Linked DNA regions of Pelodiscus sinensis. The protein of the gene in region 2 purifies or fractionates together with the protein of the main gene of each other region. This does not show direct contact. Links are inferred from orthologs where the notes say so. Each region holds a gene or a part of one and is shown on either strand. Other genes may lie near its edges.

Region 1 (8,284 bases), on a different chromosome or scaffold from region 2:
GAGAATCTGACCCTCTGAAAAATTAACTATAGTTGGATGTACTATACTTGTTCCTAGAAAATATTTACTGTACCAGTACATAGTTTAGTACCTCAAGGTAACAGCACTGTCTCTTGCTGCAAAAGAGGTAATTTATTAATTTATCAGAAAAGCTATAAATAAGGTATTTAATTAAAACACTTTAAATAGAAACTGTGCCTTTTACAAATCTTTGTTTCAACTAGAAGTGCCCTCATCTTCGTCTCTGGAATTTCCACAATATGCTGTTGATACAAATAAAATTGCCTCAAAACAGTTCAGTGGTCAGACATAGCAACTACAACAACAATTGTTATACTTACATATGTAAAAAGCCAAGAATAATTAGTGACTTTTTGACTTGCAAGCTGAAGATTCCCTCTACTTCATATTACTTTGAATTTCAATTTGCAAATTTCAAATGGTGCAACAAAAATAATCCTAATATTCTCACCTAAAAGTGAAAGGCCAACTCATATCTTCAGGAACACTTCTATTCTCCCTTTAAATTTGGGGGGCAACACAAACTCTTCATACAGTGTACCAGGCTGCCTCATATTATTCAGGAGAATTGCAAGAATATGCAGAGTTCCTGAAGAGAGTTTGTGGTCAATTACTTTCCCCCACAGCATCTTATATGCATCTCAGACTGCTGCTGGCCATTCCTCCCTTTAACAAAATAGATGACTAGGTACAGGAGTGTCTACCTGTACCACTGTATTTTTTTTATAACCAGCTTAAGTTAGCATGTAGTAGCTTTATTTTTTGCACATTCTAGGATGAAGATTGTTTTTAAAAGTAGCTGTGCAACCAGGCAAAGGCCAATAATCCTTGTTCTTATGAGAAAAGGCCCACAAAAGCTCTAATTTACTATATCTTAATCCTCCATTAATTGTATGATTCCCGAGGTGACCAGCAAGAATCTCTGACACCATTAATATGTTGTTTAATTTGTCTTTTAGAAGAGATCTAAAATCTACAATACTTTGTGTCATCGTTACCCTCACTCTCCCTCTCTAGTGCCTCTGGTTGTTTGTTTCAAAAATTAGTTCCATTTTATCTTAATTCATGCACTAAACCTAAAATGAGCTTTTAGAAGATGCCTCAGGGCCTTGGATTATAACTCTTTTATCCACCACCTGTTTCATGCTATCCTTTTGACCAACACCATCATAATGAGAGTTATGTGACTGAAGCCTGTGTACTTATATAAGAGCATAATATAAAAAAAGCTTAAAACCTAATTTTAAATGAAAGCTTACATTTTACAGAAACTGATGTCTTCTTATGTCTTCACACTACCTAGTTACTTAGTTACAACTCAAAAGACATTTGTTTTCAGGGTTAGAAGCAATGTATTCAGTTGTGGGGAAGGGAAGTCCATTGGGATGCTGCAGAAGTGGCTAGGACTTAAAAATAGATATTTGATTGGAGGGAGAGTTTGAAAGAAGAACATCCCTTGACAATGAAACGCTTTCAATAAGCCTACTCCTAGGATCAGACTTATTAATGAGACCACATACAGCAGCATGAGATAGGGTAATTTTTTTCGTAAATAAAGACCAGGAGCCCTCATGCTTTAAAGCATGTACCAGTCACCAATGGACATCGACTAGGATGAAATTTTCCCTAAAGGAAAAGGCACTATTCTGTAAACGTTTACTTTGACATTTCTTGCCTCTGTCTCTGAAGCTTTCATTATTAACTTTCACAGATGGAATACTGGATTAGACAGACCAATGATTTGAACTAGCACAGCAATTCCCATGAATATGTGGTCATTTTCAATCATTCCATTTAACTTTAACTGTTGTCCACACTCCAACAAGAAAAATCTTTAGAATTATATTTTTGATTTCAGAATGTAAATGCTTCAACCCAAAGGTAAACTAATTTAATTACCCTCAATTTTTTGTTGTTCAATATCCATAGCCCCCCTCCCCCATCAATTTTCAGTGCAAGTTAAAAACAAAAATAAATTTAGAAGTAATTAAATTCACCCCTAGGTCGCCCACCATTGCTTCCTGCGTTTGTGATTTTAAGATTATGTTTATAAATGCTTTCCCACTCTTTCTGTCCACCTCTAGAAAAACTCACACAAAGGAGTGATTGATAACACGGGGAACAATGAAACTCACTAGGCATAAAATGCATGTAGAGGCGGACAGAGAACACACACAAAAGAATACCTTTGCCGTCCCCCTTCACCCCACCCCCGCCAACTTCAACAATCGTAACCGTTATCTGTAAACAGCAACTTGAAAAGCTGTAGTCAGAAGTTGCGGAGATCACTCTAATTTACTGAAGGAAGACGGTCGGCGTAGGGCCGAACACTATGATCTGGTTCAGGCCTTGTCAGAATTTTAAAAAAAACACTAGAAATACTGGTCCCTGCTCAGCGCTGCACTGGGAGTCGGGTTCACGGGACTATTCTCGCCCGGGATGCGGGGCCGCGGCGGGAGCTCAGTGACCCGAGGAGTCGGGTAACCGATGGGGTTCCCAACTGCACGGACACACGGCACATCTCGGCTGCTAATCGGAGCCTACCCCGGCAAGATTTCCGATTCCTGCGCGGAAAGGCACAGGGGCCGGTTCCCTGCCACTCTCACGCAGCTCGCCCGGTACCCGCTGCCTCCACCACGTCCCCCGCCCCGCACCGGGACTCCCGGCTTTTAAACGGGACGGACGGAGCCTCCCAAGACTGTAGGAAGCCGCCGGGCTCTTGGGCCGCCCCTCCCCCCACAAGCGCGACGAGGAGACGCGCCTGCCTAGCGCTTTCGCCATGGGGCCTGCGTGCCGCGCCCGGCCGGCTCCGAGCCCCGCCGGTCCGGTCCCCCCCCCGCGCCTCGGCCAGGCCCAGCACTGCAGGGAGCGAGTCTGCCGCCGAGGCACAAAGCGGATTAGGCAGGAACCGCTCCAAGAGGGAGAGAGACCAGCCCCCGCCCCCAGGCCGCGCGGCCAGGCCCGGGCCCTAGCCCCGGCGCCCCTCACCCGTCAGCCGTAGCGCGCTTCTTGCTGGAGGTGTAGTCGTCCCCCAGGTCTAGGCGGTGGCGCTTGGACATGGTGCCGGCGGCGGCGGGGACTCCGGGCGCGGATGGGTGCTACGGCTCCGCGCTCTCCGCTCCTCGAGCAGCAGCGGCGGCAGCGCCGCGAGGCCAAGAACAGCAACTAAAATGGCGGCCGGAAGGAAGCCTCGATCCGCGCGAGACACTGAGCGAGCCACTTCGAAGAGGGGGAGGCGGTGCAGCCACGCCGAGCCCGGCTGGGAACCTTCCCCCGCGCGCCTCGGTCCGGCCAGCGGATCGCCCCCTAGAATTCTATTGCCACCCAGGGAGAGGGCCGGAGTCACAACGTGAGGCGGTGCCAGCGGGAAAAGGGGGTGTGGGCGGAGGCGGAAAGAGCTAGTGCTGTAGATGGGACAGCCCGGGCACTGCCCTGGGCCGTAGCAGGAGCAGTTCCCCTCACCCCAGAGAGGTGGTGCTCTGAGTTGGAACCAGATTGAGACTATGGCTCGCCCACCTATAGCCTGTCCAGGTGCAGGCAGATTGCTTAGAAGAGCACAACTAGGCCTGGGACGCATCTCGGTTGCCCCATGCTTTTAGCGCCTTCCAGTAGACTGTGTTGTTTCAGTGTCATTGCTTTGGTGACATGGCTTTTTGACTTGCTGTAATGGCTGACTTAGCCTGGCTCCATAAAGACCTAACGCAATGGACTTGTTACCTGTGTCCATCATAACTGTACACATGATGGAACTTTAAATCTTTGTAGGATTGGGGCCATAACTACCTGCCCTTCAGCAACACTAGCTCAGCGCAACTGTACGTTTGTGCACACACAGTGTTTCAACTGATGTCAGAGCAGGACAGACATCAGAACCTACCCCAGTGTAAAGTATCAGTAAGACATATCCCAAAAGTTAGGAACACAAATATATCTTATAAGGCCCCCTAAAACAAAGACAAATCCTTCCAGAAGGATGGTGGTTTCAGAAGGGAACTGACAAACTTGTGAGATCAGAATTCAGTTCCTGGTTCTGCCACTTTCTTGTGATTAGTTGTCTTGTCTCATCTATTTAAGACTTTAACAAGTAATATCTACATAAGTTATGGTTTGACTTTAAACCACTATTACTATACAGCTATAACTTCCCATGCAGACACTCATAACGTGTTTTTGTTTAAGCTAAACAAAAACAAAAAGCCCTCTTATTTTCAGAATAAGAATGTCCAAACAGGAAGTTATACCAACATAACTGTACTGGTACAACTTTTTCCAGTAGACAAGTCCTTGGAGCATAAGTTCTTCAGGACAGGAATTGTCTTCTACATGTATCTATGAGGGATATGAAAGATTTATTGGTTCCGGTTAATGCGTGGGGGCTGAAGAAGCTCCGCTCACCTCAGGCGGGTGGCTGCTACAGCCCCATAGGGCACGCTTGAAGACAAGGGCTGCTCTGGCTGCCCAAAGCAGCTCCTGTGCACAGTGGGGCCCGGGTGCATTGCAGGCAGGGGCTACTCTGGCTGGGCTGAAGCCTGCAATGATGGGGAGGGGCTGCTCCAGCCCAGTCTCAGCCTCCCAACCTTTCCTCCTTTAATCAGTTAACCTGTTAAACATCACATTTAACCGGTTAACCAATTAAATAGGATTTTACATTCTCAGTTTCTACAGTATGTAAAACAGCCAGACCCATATCTCAGTTGGGCAGAAGTCCAGGTTCTACTGTAATACAAATAATAGACATCTTTTTATTTGGCAGTCCCAAAGATCTGTTAGGCTTTAATTTGGAGAGACTGGATTTTGAGCTTTGTAGTGGCTAGGCAGGAATGAGTATTGAGGCAATACTTTAAACTTATACACAGCATTGGGATATCTATTTCGTGAATCATGGTAATGTAGCCTTATATGGGCATGGCTCTATTCCAAATTTTGACCTGGTAAAGGCCATTTTAGCATTATCATTATTTATTTACATTGTGGTAGCACTTAAATATCCCAACCCCATTGTGCTATGCACTAAATAAACAAATAATAAATATGCAGTCCCAGTCCAAACAGTTTACTATCTAATTCCTTGATTCTGCAAACCTGTGCATCTGCAAGTAATCCAAATGGACTACTCAGAATGGTAAAGCGGAGTACATTCATTAGTGTCTCCAGGATCAATGTCTAAATATAAGGTGAAAAACAACAGGTAGCAAGAGCAATCAGATGGGGGAGCACAAAGTAACAATGGGACAAAACTGACCAATGAGAAGCATCTTGCCACAACTCTGGGAGATGCAATACAGAACCACGGAGTTAGGAACACCAGAGTTACAAATTGACTAGTCAATAACACACCTCATTTGGAACAAGAAGGATGCAATCAGACAAACACACACACAATGCAAATACAGTACAGTACTGTATTAAATGTAAGCTATTCAAAAAAGGGAAAGCAGCATTTTTCTTGTGCATAGTAAAATTTCAAAGTGTATTAAGTCAAAGTCCAGTTGTGAACTTTTGAAAGAATAACCATCATGTTTTGTTCAGAGTTATGAACAACCTCTACTGCTGAGCTCAGACGTTTTGTTGTACATATGCACAAAATGGAACACAGTATCATACTGTTATCAAAAGATTTGAAACCAATTATATTAAGTCAATGAGCTTGCCTAAAACCACTGCTTTTAATTAAAAACCTTTTATCCTTAATTTATCTATTCCAGTAATTATGGTTGTGGTCTGCCCTAAAAGAATTTCCAGGAAAAGCCAGTCCCTTGCAAGGATATGGATACAGCATTCTGATGAAGAATATCATAAACAAGAATAATATTTATTTAGAAATGAGTGGTTACAGCATAAGAGTAGAGATATAGATAATAGGGTTACAGTTAAAAAGTGAATGAAGCCGCACAGCAAATAAAGACACGCTACAATAACACTTTCAATTCTAACGAAACATGTAGATGGTATCATGAGTTTTTGTGGGCACAACCCACTTCTTCAGGTGTCATCTTTTTTGGTCTTTAAGATGCTACTAGACTTGTCATTGTTTTTTAAGATTTCCTGTTAAAGACTAACTCAGCTGCCCCTCTGAAACTTTCACTCCTATAACTTACAACAATATAAACCTTCACTTAATGCTCTCTACCTTATAACAATGTAACAATATATGAATTAAATATTCAACATTAAAACTAAGTGTCAAGTCAGTGCTGGCCTGGAATTTATTATATGGACAGGAAAAGATCTTACTCAAACCACAGTCACTTTATTTACAAACGAAGGCCATATGCTTTAGGATGTTAAATGGACAACGCTTTTATCTTACAGAGGATTTTTAAGATTCCTTCTGAGACAATTTAAAGGTCCTTCTGTTCTGTCACAAACTTTGAGAGCATTGTCCAATGGCTGCAGACTGCTGTAATCTCTGCAGTTGTCTCTTTATTGGGTGCCTGTCTGCTCCTCTGGTAAATCAGCCTATCTGGTAGCAGATACAGAAGCCTGCTTGGTTGCTGCACTGGTGGATACTATGAGGGCCTTCTGCTGACTGGGTGGTAGAAGCAGCCATTGTCCGGTGCAAATTGCTGCTACTGCTTTTGTAGTAGTTGTTTTTTGCAAGCAACTCTTTCTTTGCAGGGTTCTGATGTTGCTTCTTAGTTGGTTTCTTTTATGTAATCATCTTCTGACAGGTGTACAGCACTGTTCTGCTCTATGAGATTTTGCTGAGCCAGCCCCACAGGAAGTGATGCAATAGTGTGCCTTGATTGCATCACCTGATAATGATGCAATCTTGTCACCCATTTGCATCATCCTTATACATTTCTACGGTTTTCCATATATTCTTATGGGGTTTTTCTAGCTGTTCTATTGATGACTTGAGCTACTTCCTGTCATTCCCTTGAGAAAGTTGAATTTACCATTACATCACAGGAAGTGAATTATTACATCATAAACAATGGATCCCTATGTCTTTTAGAAATGAAATCTCCCACTATATTACAGCACCCTTAGGCAGTGACACTGATACAGTTTTTGGAGTAGAGGTGCTGAGTTCCCCCTCCTCTTACTCCTTTCTGCGCCACTCACCACTCTGCATGCAGGGCTGGCAGTGGAACCCCTGGGAACAGCAGTTGAGGTGGTCTTGAGGGTGGCAGTGGAGCTTCTGGACAGCAGTGGACCTGGTGGACAGGACCCTGGGCAGCAGTGGTGTGGGGGTGGCAACAGGGTCATCAGGCACAAAACCTGGGGATGCTGCAGCACCCCACCCCACCCCTACTTCCTGCTATTATGCCTGTATATGCCATTAACTGGATTTTCTGTTATTAATTTCTATTTACTTAAAGCATTATTTCAAAACTAATTATTAGCATACCAAAAAGGTATGCTATCACACTACCACCATTCATTTTATATTCAATTAATTCAATTATAATTTCTTTGATTTTTAAACTCCTTCCTTAGGCTTTTCTGCAAACTTTTAATTTAAAGTGATATAAGGCATTTTAGGCAACTGACGCACAATCTTTCATCATAATATTGATCTTTCTAAAATAAGTTGTTAGCTGAGAAAGTCTTTTTAAACTTTTTTCTACGTGCATCTGTATTAATAAAATACATAGTTTACTGAAACTGAAGGAATACAAATGATTTGTTTCACCATTTCTTCTTTCTTAATCTGTATTAGTAAAAATCTAAAGAGTAGTGAAACTGAAGGAAAATGTATGCTTTGTTGCACTGTTTTTTTCTTTATACTTTCCATCTCATTCTACTAACAAAGATTTACTAGTCAGTATCATGTTCATTTTACTTAATTTTTAGCCCACTTCATTTTCACTTTTTTTCCCTTTTATATTAAGGTGATGCTATTATGTTTGGGTTGCAAAAAAGTATTTAAATGCAAACAAAAAACCAAAAGGTAAAATTAGAGGTGACATTTTAAAATAAAGTATTTTTGCTTTTTAAATACCCTATCTATTCTCCACATAGTGACAATGGAACAAATATTGTTATAAAGTTTCACTGCACTGGAAACTGGAAGCTGAAGCAATCTTCCTTATCAATTGTAGTGCCCAGTACCTTAAAACCTATGCGTAACTGAAAAGCTACCTTAGAGAGGTCTTGCAAAGAAAAATATTTGTAAAGTACTTTGAGATTCTTGAATGGGAAACACATGCAAGTTCAATGTATTATTGCAGTGAAAATGAACCATTGCATTTACATACTCTTACTGGTAAGTTTTTATAGAAATCTAGGGTAAAGAGAGGCTAACTGAATGTTCTTT
Region 2 (8,294 bases):
AGGATGATCCAGGCACCATTTAATTGTAACCCAGTAAGTATCACCCGGTAAGGGTGATGTTACCAGATAAGTGGTTATCCATTCACATCTCTACTTATCACGTCATGCTGCCAGCCCTCCACCTCCAGCCACACTAGAGCAACTTAACACCCCACATGGCCACCAACCAGACTACCCTCCCTCCCACCCCTGCCCGCACAGCAATGTAGCCTGCCTCTCTTCCTCTGCTTCGTGGCTCTGTCTCTCTTCTGTTACTCCACGTACAGCTGCTGAGAATCCTCACAAATATCGGGACTTGAGAACAATTCCTCGTTGCCTGGCGCACTGGTTGTCAGTGGACTAATCCTAACCCCTTCATCCACTTCCAGCTGTTCATCAATAATTTCTGTCTCTGGGACAAGTGTTTTTGTTTCTGGTCTATGGAAGGTATCCACACTCTCCTTGGGTGTGGTTATGGGGTCCCCATCCAGGATTGCACCTAGTTCTTCATAAAAACACCATGTTGCACATGCAGCACCAGACCGGCTATTTGCCTCCTTTGCCTTCTGGTATGCCTGCCAGAGTACCTTTATCTTGGCTCCGCAGTGTAGTATGTCTCACTCAAACCTCTTCTCATATATGGTTCAAGAAATATGACTGTGTATGTCCCAGTTCCTACAAGTCACTCATAGCTGTGCCTGCACTGATTCTTCACCTCACACACTGATAAGATCCAAAAGCTCTGCATTGCTCCAAGCAGGGGAATGTTTGAGTGACACCCACCCCTACCTCTAATATCATCAATTCACAGACACTTACCTTCCTTCCTTCCCCCCCCCCCCCGCATCCCCCTCCTGTTCTGCAATGTGATTTGTCCTTTTCATATTTGTTCATTTTTTTTAATTGTATCCTTTGGTATATATGGTTGTGACTACTTTCTTCCACTATTTGATCTGAGGAAGTGGGTCTGGCCCACGAAAGCTCATCATCTAATAAACCATCTTGTTAGTCTTTAAAGTGCTACATTGTCCTGCATTTTGCTTCAACTACCCCAGACTAACACGGCTACATTTCTATCACTACCCACCACTGGCTCACTGAGAAGATGCCATGAGGACCACTATACAACGAGCCAGACACCAGGAAATAGATTTTTTTTTAATTCCCAGGATTTGCAGTTGGGAGGGATGCATCTGTTTATCTGGCTGCAGAGCAGCAGAGTTCAAAGTACTGGCCACAGTGGCTAATTGGTCACTGAGGAAAACATGCTAGAGGTCAATAAACTCAACAAAAAACCTATTGTAGCATACACTACATGACTGGTTGACAATAAAGGGAAGGGAAGATAAAAACTTCCACCTCCACAGAAGAAGTTTGTGTCATCAAAACTGGGTGTAGTCACCTCTTGGAGAGTGCAGGGATGCTAATTTTTATGATTTGATCCCAACTCCCATAACATCCAATGTTTTTCTTAAAGCTCCATCTTATATCAACTTTACATGAAAATCTCAGTTTTCATTTTGAAAAAGGAGAAAGGATATCTCTAACAGCTGCAAAGACAAAGCTTTAAAATGTGCACTCTAAAGGCACAAAAAACTAAAAGGCTAATCAAAAGAACCCCCATTGTTTTACATCTCATGAATTTTTAAGCTAACCTTGTTACTTTGAGCTGTAGCTTATGAGTTATAAACACTTATGGTTAGCAATACTATGGTCTGCATACAGGCAATTCCCGTATCTCTGCTGTTTCTTGTAATTTTCCCAAGAAGCAAGAGTGAAAAGGCCCCAAAGCCAGTTTCAGAGCTTCTGTTCCCTGAGCAGCTTTGAAACTAATAAAGAACATGTAAATTTCACCTATGGCTGTTCATACATTTTTCAGGATTTGTCTACACTAAAAGGAAGATTGTCACTGCCACGATCCATCTTCCGGAGTTCGATTTAGCAAGTCTTAACTAAAGTGCCCCACTGGCACTCCTCCTTTTGCAAGGCGCAAGAGAAGCTAATGGGAGCATATTCTATGTAGCTAGAGTTGCGTACCTTAAGTTGAGTTGCCGGGTTTAGAGTAGACCTGGCCTTAGGCTACAACGACAGACACTAGAGTAAAACTTCTACCCACGAGAGTTTGGGAAAAGTCTCAGAATGGGAAGGAAGAAAATGGGCTGCTCTGCCTTTCCAAAAACCAGAAAAATCTGCAGGCTTGAAATTCATCAGGACACCTATTAAAAAGAGGTCGACATAAAAGATGGAATTGAAGGCTCACCTACAAGGACATCACTATATTACTGATGAAGGTGTATGAGGAGAGTGAGGCGTGTTAAAACGACAACTATGCGTTAATTAAATATTTTAAAGATCCAATGCTAAAATATAAAACCCTCAAAACCACTCAAAAGTTTTTCTTGAAGACTTACAGGGACTCTGGAGAAAGCGCAGGCCTACACTAGAGTCTGCTGCTCACATATATCAGTCAAGGATCCCAGCCCAGACTGACAAAGGCAACCTCTGTCTGTATTAGAAATGTTAAAATGCATTTAATTAACTATGTAACTGCTAAAAAAATGGTTACACGGTTACATGTGGGGTGACAGTCAGCTCCCTGGCAGGTGGTGTGTGCTGGGAGTCAGCTTAAGACGCCTCCCAAGGCACACCAGCTCCCACCTGCAGCCCCACTCCTGCGGAGCCAGCTACCACAGGAGTCTGCATGCACGTGTGAATATTAACTGATAAATCCAGAGTTACTGGTTAACTGTTTACATGGTTAAATTTACACATTCTTAGCCCATACTGCACACATGGCTCCAGGGCCTTGTCTATACTTACCCATTAATTAAGGCTCAGGAGAGTGATCTTCTGGCATTCGATTTAGCAAACCTAGTAAAGACTGGCTAACTTGAACGCTAAGGGTGCTCCTGTGAGGAGTAAGGCAAGTCGAGAGAAGCATTTCTCTCGGTGACCTCCCACTATGTGGACAGAGCCAAAGCTCGTATTAAGATAAGTCAACTCCTGCGAAGCAATTGACCTAGCGCGAGTTGCAAATCTTAATCTGAACTTATCCCTAGTGTAGACCAGAATGCACCAAAACCTGGAACAGTTACCAGTCAGGCTTGGCCTTGCACGGCAGGGGAGGGAATGTTGTTTCCCAATGATCCGGAGAATATTTACCCAGCCCTGTAGGGGAGCACAACCACAGCCTGCCAGGCACCTGGGGCTTGAATAATTTTACCCCACTGGGATGGGCAGCCGCCTCTGCCCGGAGGCCAGCAGCCGGGACATAGCAAAGCAACCCGCGGCGGAGAGGCTTCAGCCAAGCAAACACTAGCGACCTGGCCCTGGCAGCACCCACAAACCTGCCGCCCCGGGGCTCCCCGGCCACAAGCAGCCTCCCCCCCCCCCCCCAGGAGCCCGAACAAACCCTTCCCGCGCGCCCCCCAAACGCTGCTGCCCCGCCGCCACGTTTCCGCAGCGCCCCTCACCCGAGTCCAGCCCCAGTTGGTAGCAGGCCAGCGGCTCCAGGGACAGCTTGTAGCCCTCGAACTTGGGATCCAAGAGCTGCCGGTTCACCCGCAGGGAGCAGTTGGCCGCCGCTTCCATCGCCGTCGCTCGCGCCGGGAGTTGCCGCCTAACGGCGAAAAGTTTGGAAGGAGGCTGTGAGGAAGCAGGGAGAAGCCACTGGAGAAGGTAACTAGCGTGCAGTCCGCGGAGCACCATGGGAATGGTAGTTTTAGGGCTCTGGCCGCGAGGGGCTGCTCGGGCCAGTCGCCGAGCATGTTGGGAGTTGTATGCCGCACGGAGAGCGAGCCGCCTAGCGCCCCGATCGTGAAGCATGCTGGGCGTTGTAGTTTTTAAACCGAGCGAGGGAAAGCGCGTCGTGCACTCCATTTCCCAGGGTTCCCTGCGCGAAGAGGCGGGCAGGGGCTTGGCCGTGCTGGATTCTCCCTGGGAGACTGCGTCGCTTTCTTCTCCTACAGAGCTGAGCGCGCCGCCGCGGGGGTGAGTCCGGGGGTCCGGAGTTGCTCTCTCCAGGAGGGGTCAGGGGCGGGCGGGGAGCCGCGGGACTCGGCTTGAAATCCCCGCCCCCATTCCCGGCTCTGGGCCCAGGCCCGAGCTCCCCCGTGGTGTGGCCCCATGCTGCCCTGGCGGGCCGGGCGCTCCTCAGGCCGGTCTCCCAGGCCGGGGAAGGGGGCGTGGTCACTAGGCTGGCGGAGCGGGGCTGGTTATTGCCCGGTGGGGGGGGGGGGCTGAGAGCAGGCCGGGGTGGGCTCGCTGGCTGAGGAGTTCCATTCGGGCGGGCGGGCTGCGGTGGAATTGCGCCCTTGCTCCGGCAGAGGCTCGACGGGTTGCGGGGGCCTCTGGTTAAAAACGTTTCCTGAAATGCAGCGCCTGCGACGTTATCGTATCAGCCCCGCTTTGCCGGGCTGTGGCTCCATTACACGGGGAGGAGAGAGGCAGCCGCTCGGTGTGACTGACGCAAGCGTGGCCGGATTTGTTTGCCCCCCCCCAGTCTCTTATCTGAGCCTGGACTTGCACCACTCTGTAGTTCAGGGCAGTGAGCAGCCGTTCCTCAATCAAGTCTGGGCTGAAGTACCAGATCTCCAGGTTAGGTGATAGATGTGAAGTGGCTCGAGTCAGTTGTGTTGATCCTTTTATCAACATTAAACTACTAAATTAACACAGGCAGCAAAAACTTCTACATAGCTTCATCAAAATATCTGGCGTAATCTAATTACAGCCATGAATTTAAGAACTGTAGGGAGACAAGGTGGATGAGATAGTATCTTTTACATTAGAACCACAGTTATGGACTGACGTGTCAGGCAGCAACAGATTACCGCCCCCCCCCCCAAAAAAAAAAAAAAGGAAATGCAGTACAGTGTTAAATCAGGTGTGGGGAACCTTTTTTAGGTCGGGGCCAATGACCCACAGAAAAATCAGTTTTCTGTTGGGGGGGATACCCAAGTGAGAAGTGTGTGGGGGGGAACCTTCACTGTGGCCCCCAACTGAGGAGAAGACACTCCCCACATTCCATTCACACACCAGAGCCTGGTGGGGGCCTAGCCTAGTAGATTTTGTGGAGTACCAGTGGGGGCTGGAGTACCAGTATGGGTTCCCCAATGCTGGGCGGGGGTGGGGGAATGATCCTCAGGGGCTGGATCTAGGCACGCTGAGGGCTGCATCCAGCCCTGAGGTTCCCCACCCCTGGTGTTAAACTACTAAAACAGGCAGTTTTAAAAACTGAAAATGTAAGAGTACTTTTTCTGTTCTTGTTTGATTTAAATTAAGATGGCTAAAAGCAGCATTTGTCTTCTGAATAGTGACGTTTCAAAGCTGTGTTAAGTCAATGTTCAGTTGTAAACTTTCGAAAGAACAAATATAATGTTCAAAATTACAAATAGCTCTATTCCTGAGGTGTTCATAACTCTGAGATTGTACTTGTACTAGGCCGTCTTCTGTTGGTGATGGAGACAAGCTTTTCATAGAATCATAGAACCATAGAGCTGGAAGAGACCTTAGAAGGCCATCAAGTACAGCCCCCTGCCCAAGTCAGGACCAATCCCAATTACATCAACCCAGCCGAGACTTAAAAAACTCTAGGGCTATGTCTACGCTCGTGGCTTTGGCTTCTTGCGCAAGTACGGCCGTTGTTGCGCAAGAATCTGCAGAGCGTCCACACTGCCCGCCCGCTCTTGAGCAAGGAAATTTACAGTATGGCATGGTAAGAGAGGGCTCCTTGCACAAGAGTTATGCTCTTTTTTATCAGGTGTAAGCCCTCTTGCGCAGGAGCTCTTGCACAAGAGGGCAGTGTGGACGCTTGGCAGGGATTTCTTGCGCAAGAAATCCCTATGGCTAAAATGGCCATCAGAGCTTTCTTGCGCAAGAGAGCGTCCACACTGCCATGGGAGCTCTTGCGCAAAAGCACAGCACGCACGTGGAAGTGTGGATGATGTTCTTGCACAAGAACCCGCCAGTGTACACATAGCCAAAGAATGGAGACTCCACTATTTCCCTAGGTAACCTATTCCAGTGCTTCGCCACCCTCCTAGTGAAATAGTTTTTCCTAATATCCAACTTGGACCTCTCCCACTGCAACTTCAGACCATTGTTCCTTGTTCTGCCATCCATCACTACTGTGAACATCCTTTCTCCAGCCTCTTTGGAACCTCCCTTCAGGAAGTTGAAGGATGCTATCAAATCCTCCCTCACTCTTCTCTTCTGCAGACTAAATAGACCCAACTCCCTCAACCTCTCCTCATAGGTCATATGCTCCAGCCACCTAATCATTTTGGTTGCCCTCCACTGGAACCTCCAGTGCATCCACATCCTTCCTGCAATTGGGGGCCCAGAACTGGATACTCCAGATGTGATACAATACTCCAGACGTGACCTCACCAGAGCCAAGTAAAGAGGAATAATCACATCTCTGGATCGACTGGCAATGCTCCTCTTAATGCAATCTACTATGCCATTAGCCTTCTTGGCTATAAGGGTACACTGTTGATTCATGTCCAGCTTCTCATCCTCTGTAATCCCCAGGTCCTTTTCTACAGAACTGCGACTTAGCCAGTTGATCCCCAGCTTGTAACAGTGCTGGAATTCTTCCGTCCCAAGTGCAGGACTCTACACTTGTCCTTGTTGAACCTCATCAGATTTCTTGTGGCCCAATCCTCCAATTTGTCTAAGTCACTCTGGACTCTATCTCTGTCCTCAAGTGTATCTACCTCTCCCCCTAGCTTAGTGTAATCCTCAAACTTGCCTAGGGTGCAATCCATCCCCTCATCCAGGTTATTAATAAAGATGTTGAACAAAACTGGTCCCAGAACCGAACCTTAGGGCACTCCACTAGAAACTGACCGCCATCCTGACATCGAGCCATTGATCACTACCCGCTGGGCCCAACCTTCCAGCCAGCTTTCTATCCATCTTACTGTCCATTTAGCCAATCCACATTCTCTTAACTTGCTGGCAAGAATATTGTGGGAGAGCGTATCAAAAGCCTTGCTAAAGTCAAGGTATATCACATCCACTGACTTCCCCATCTCCCCAGAGCCAGTTATCTCATCATAGAAGCCATTCTGGTTGGTCAGGCACAACTTGCCCTTCATGAATCCACACTGACCATTTTTGATCACCTTCCCCTCTTCCAAGTGCCTCAAAATGGATTCCTTGAGGATCCCCTCCATGATTTTTCCAGGGACTTTTGAGCTTACTTTGAGCTTTTCTGGTCTGCCAACAGAGGGATGTACTCTAGATGTGCCTTAGGAGAATGCTCCTTCTGTGGCCACACTTTTAGTTCAAAACGCTGGTGTGGCTGCACTTTGAAAAGTGTAGACACAGCCTAAGTTCAGTAGATTTTTCTCACCAACAGAAGTAGATCCAACAAAAGATAGTATCTTGCCCACCCATAGACTAAAATATCTTGAGACTAACATGGCTACAATACTACTGCACACAACTTTAAGAGCTGTGAGTTTTTCTCTTTTTACCAGTTTTCTGAAATGAAGATGAAAGTGCAGAAAACACTAGTTATTCAGGAAGCAAAGATTATTGTATACAGTTTGACTGAGTCATCAGCAGTGAATACAGTAAACTTCCGATAATACGGCACCTTTAGGACCCAGAGGGTGCCGGATTATTAGTTTTGCCGGACTATCGGAAGGGGGGACTATAAGGGTTCTGGGGTGGGGGGAATGCCACCTCAAACCCCTCATAGCCCCCCCTTCCAATAGTCTGGCTCTGCCCCAGGCGTCCCTGATTCAGCCGCTGCTGGTCAGTTTCAGCAGCAGCTGAATTGGGGACGCCTGGGGCAGAGCAGCTGGGGTGCTGCTGGGTTGGTCCCGCAGCGCCACTCCTCGGCGCTACTGGACCAACCCGGCAGCACCCCAGCTTCTCTGCCCCAGGTGTCCCCAAGTCAGCCGCTGCTGATACTGATCAGCGGCTGACTCCAGGAAGCCTGAGGCAGAGCTGCTCTGCCCATGGCTTCCTGGAGTCAGCTGCTGGTCCGTTTCAACAGCGGCTGGTAGCGCCAACCCGTGGCGCTGCGAGACCAACCAGGCAGCACCCCAGCTGCTCTGTCCCAGGTGTACCCAAGTCAGCCGCCGCTGAAACTGATCGGGGCTGATTCCAGGAAGCCTGGGGCAGAGCAGCTCTGCCTCGGGCTTCCTGGAGTCAGCCGCTGGTCAGTTTTAGCAGCAGCTGAATCGGGGAAGCTGGGGGCATAGCAGCTCCAATGGTCCGGCTGCCTGGAGCACTTCCGGGTTCCTGATGGTGCCAGACCATCAGGAGTGCCGGACCAACAGATCCCAGACCATCAGAGTTTT

Evidence for each region.
Region 1: the proteins of NUDCD1 (region 2) and DHX15 purify together in Homo sapiens (co-immunoprecipitation; 3 studies listed by BioGRID and IntAct, with this or other methods). This does not show direct contact. The link is inferred for Pelodiscus sinensis from reciprocal best matches to the Homo sapiens genes NUDCD1 and DHX15.

Annotation. Positions count from the first base shown.
Region 1 is NC_134715.1:102,245,516-102,253,799, reverse strand, and holds the start of DHX15 (ATP-dependent RNA helicase DHX15), read right to left. Parts: upstream 3,285-8,284; 5' UTR 3,081-3,284; coding exon 3,010-3,080; intron 1-3,009.
Region 2 is NC_134712.1:29,337,534-29,345,827, reverse strand, and holds the start of NUDCD1 (nudC domain-containing protein 1), read right to left. Parts: upstream 3,777-8,294; 5' UTR 3,688-3,776; coding exon 3,453-3,687; intron 1-3,452.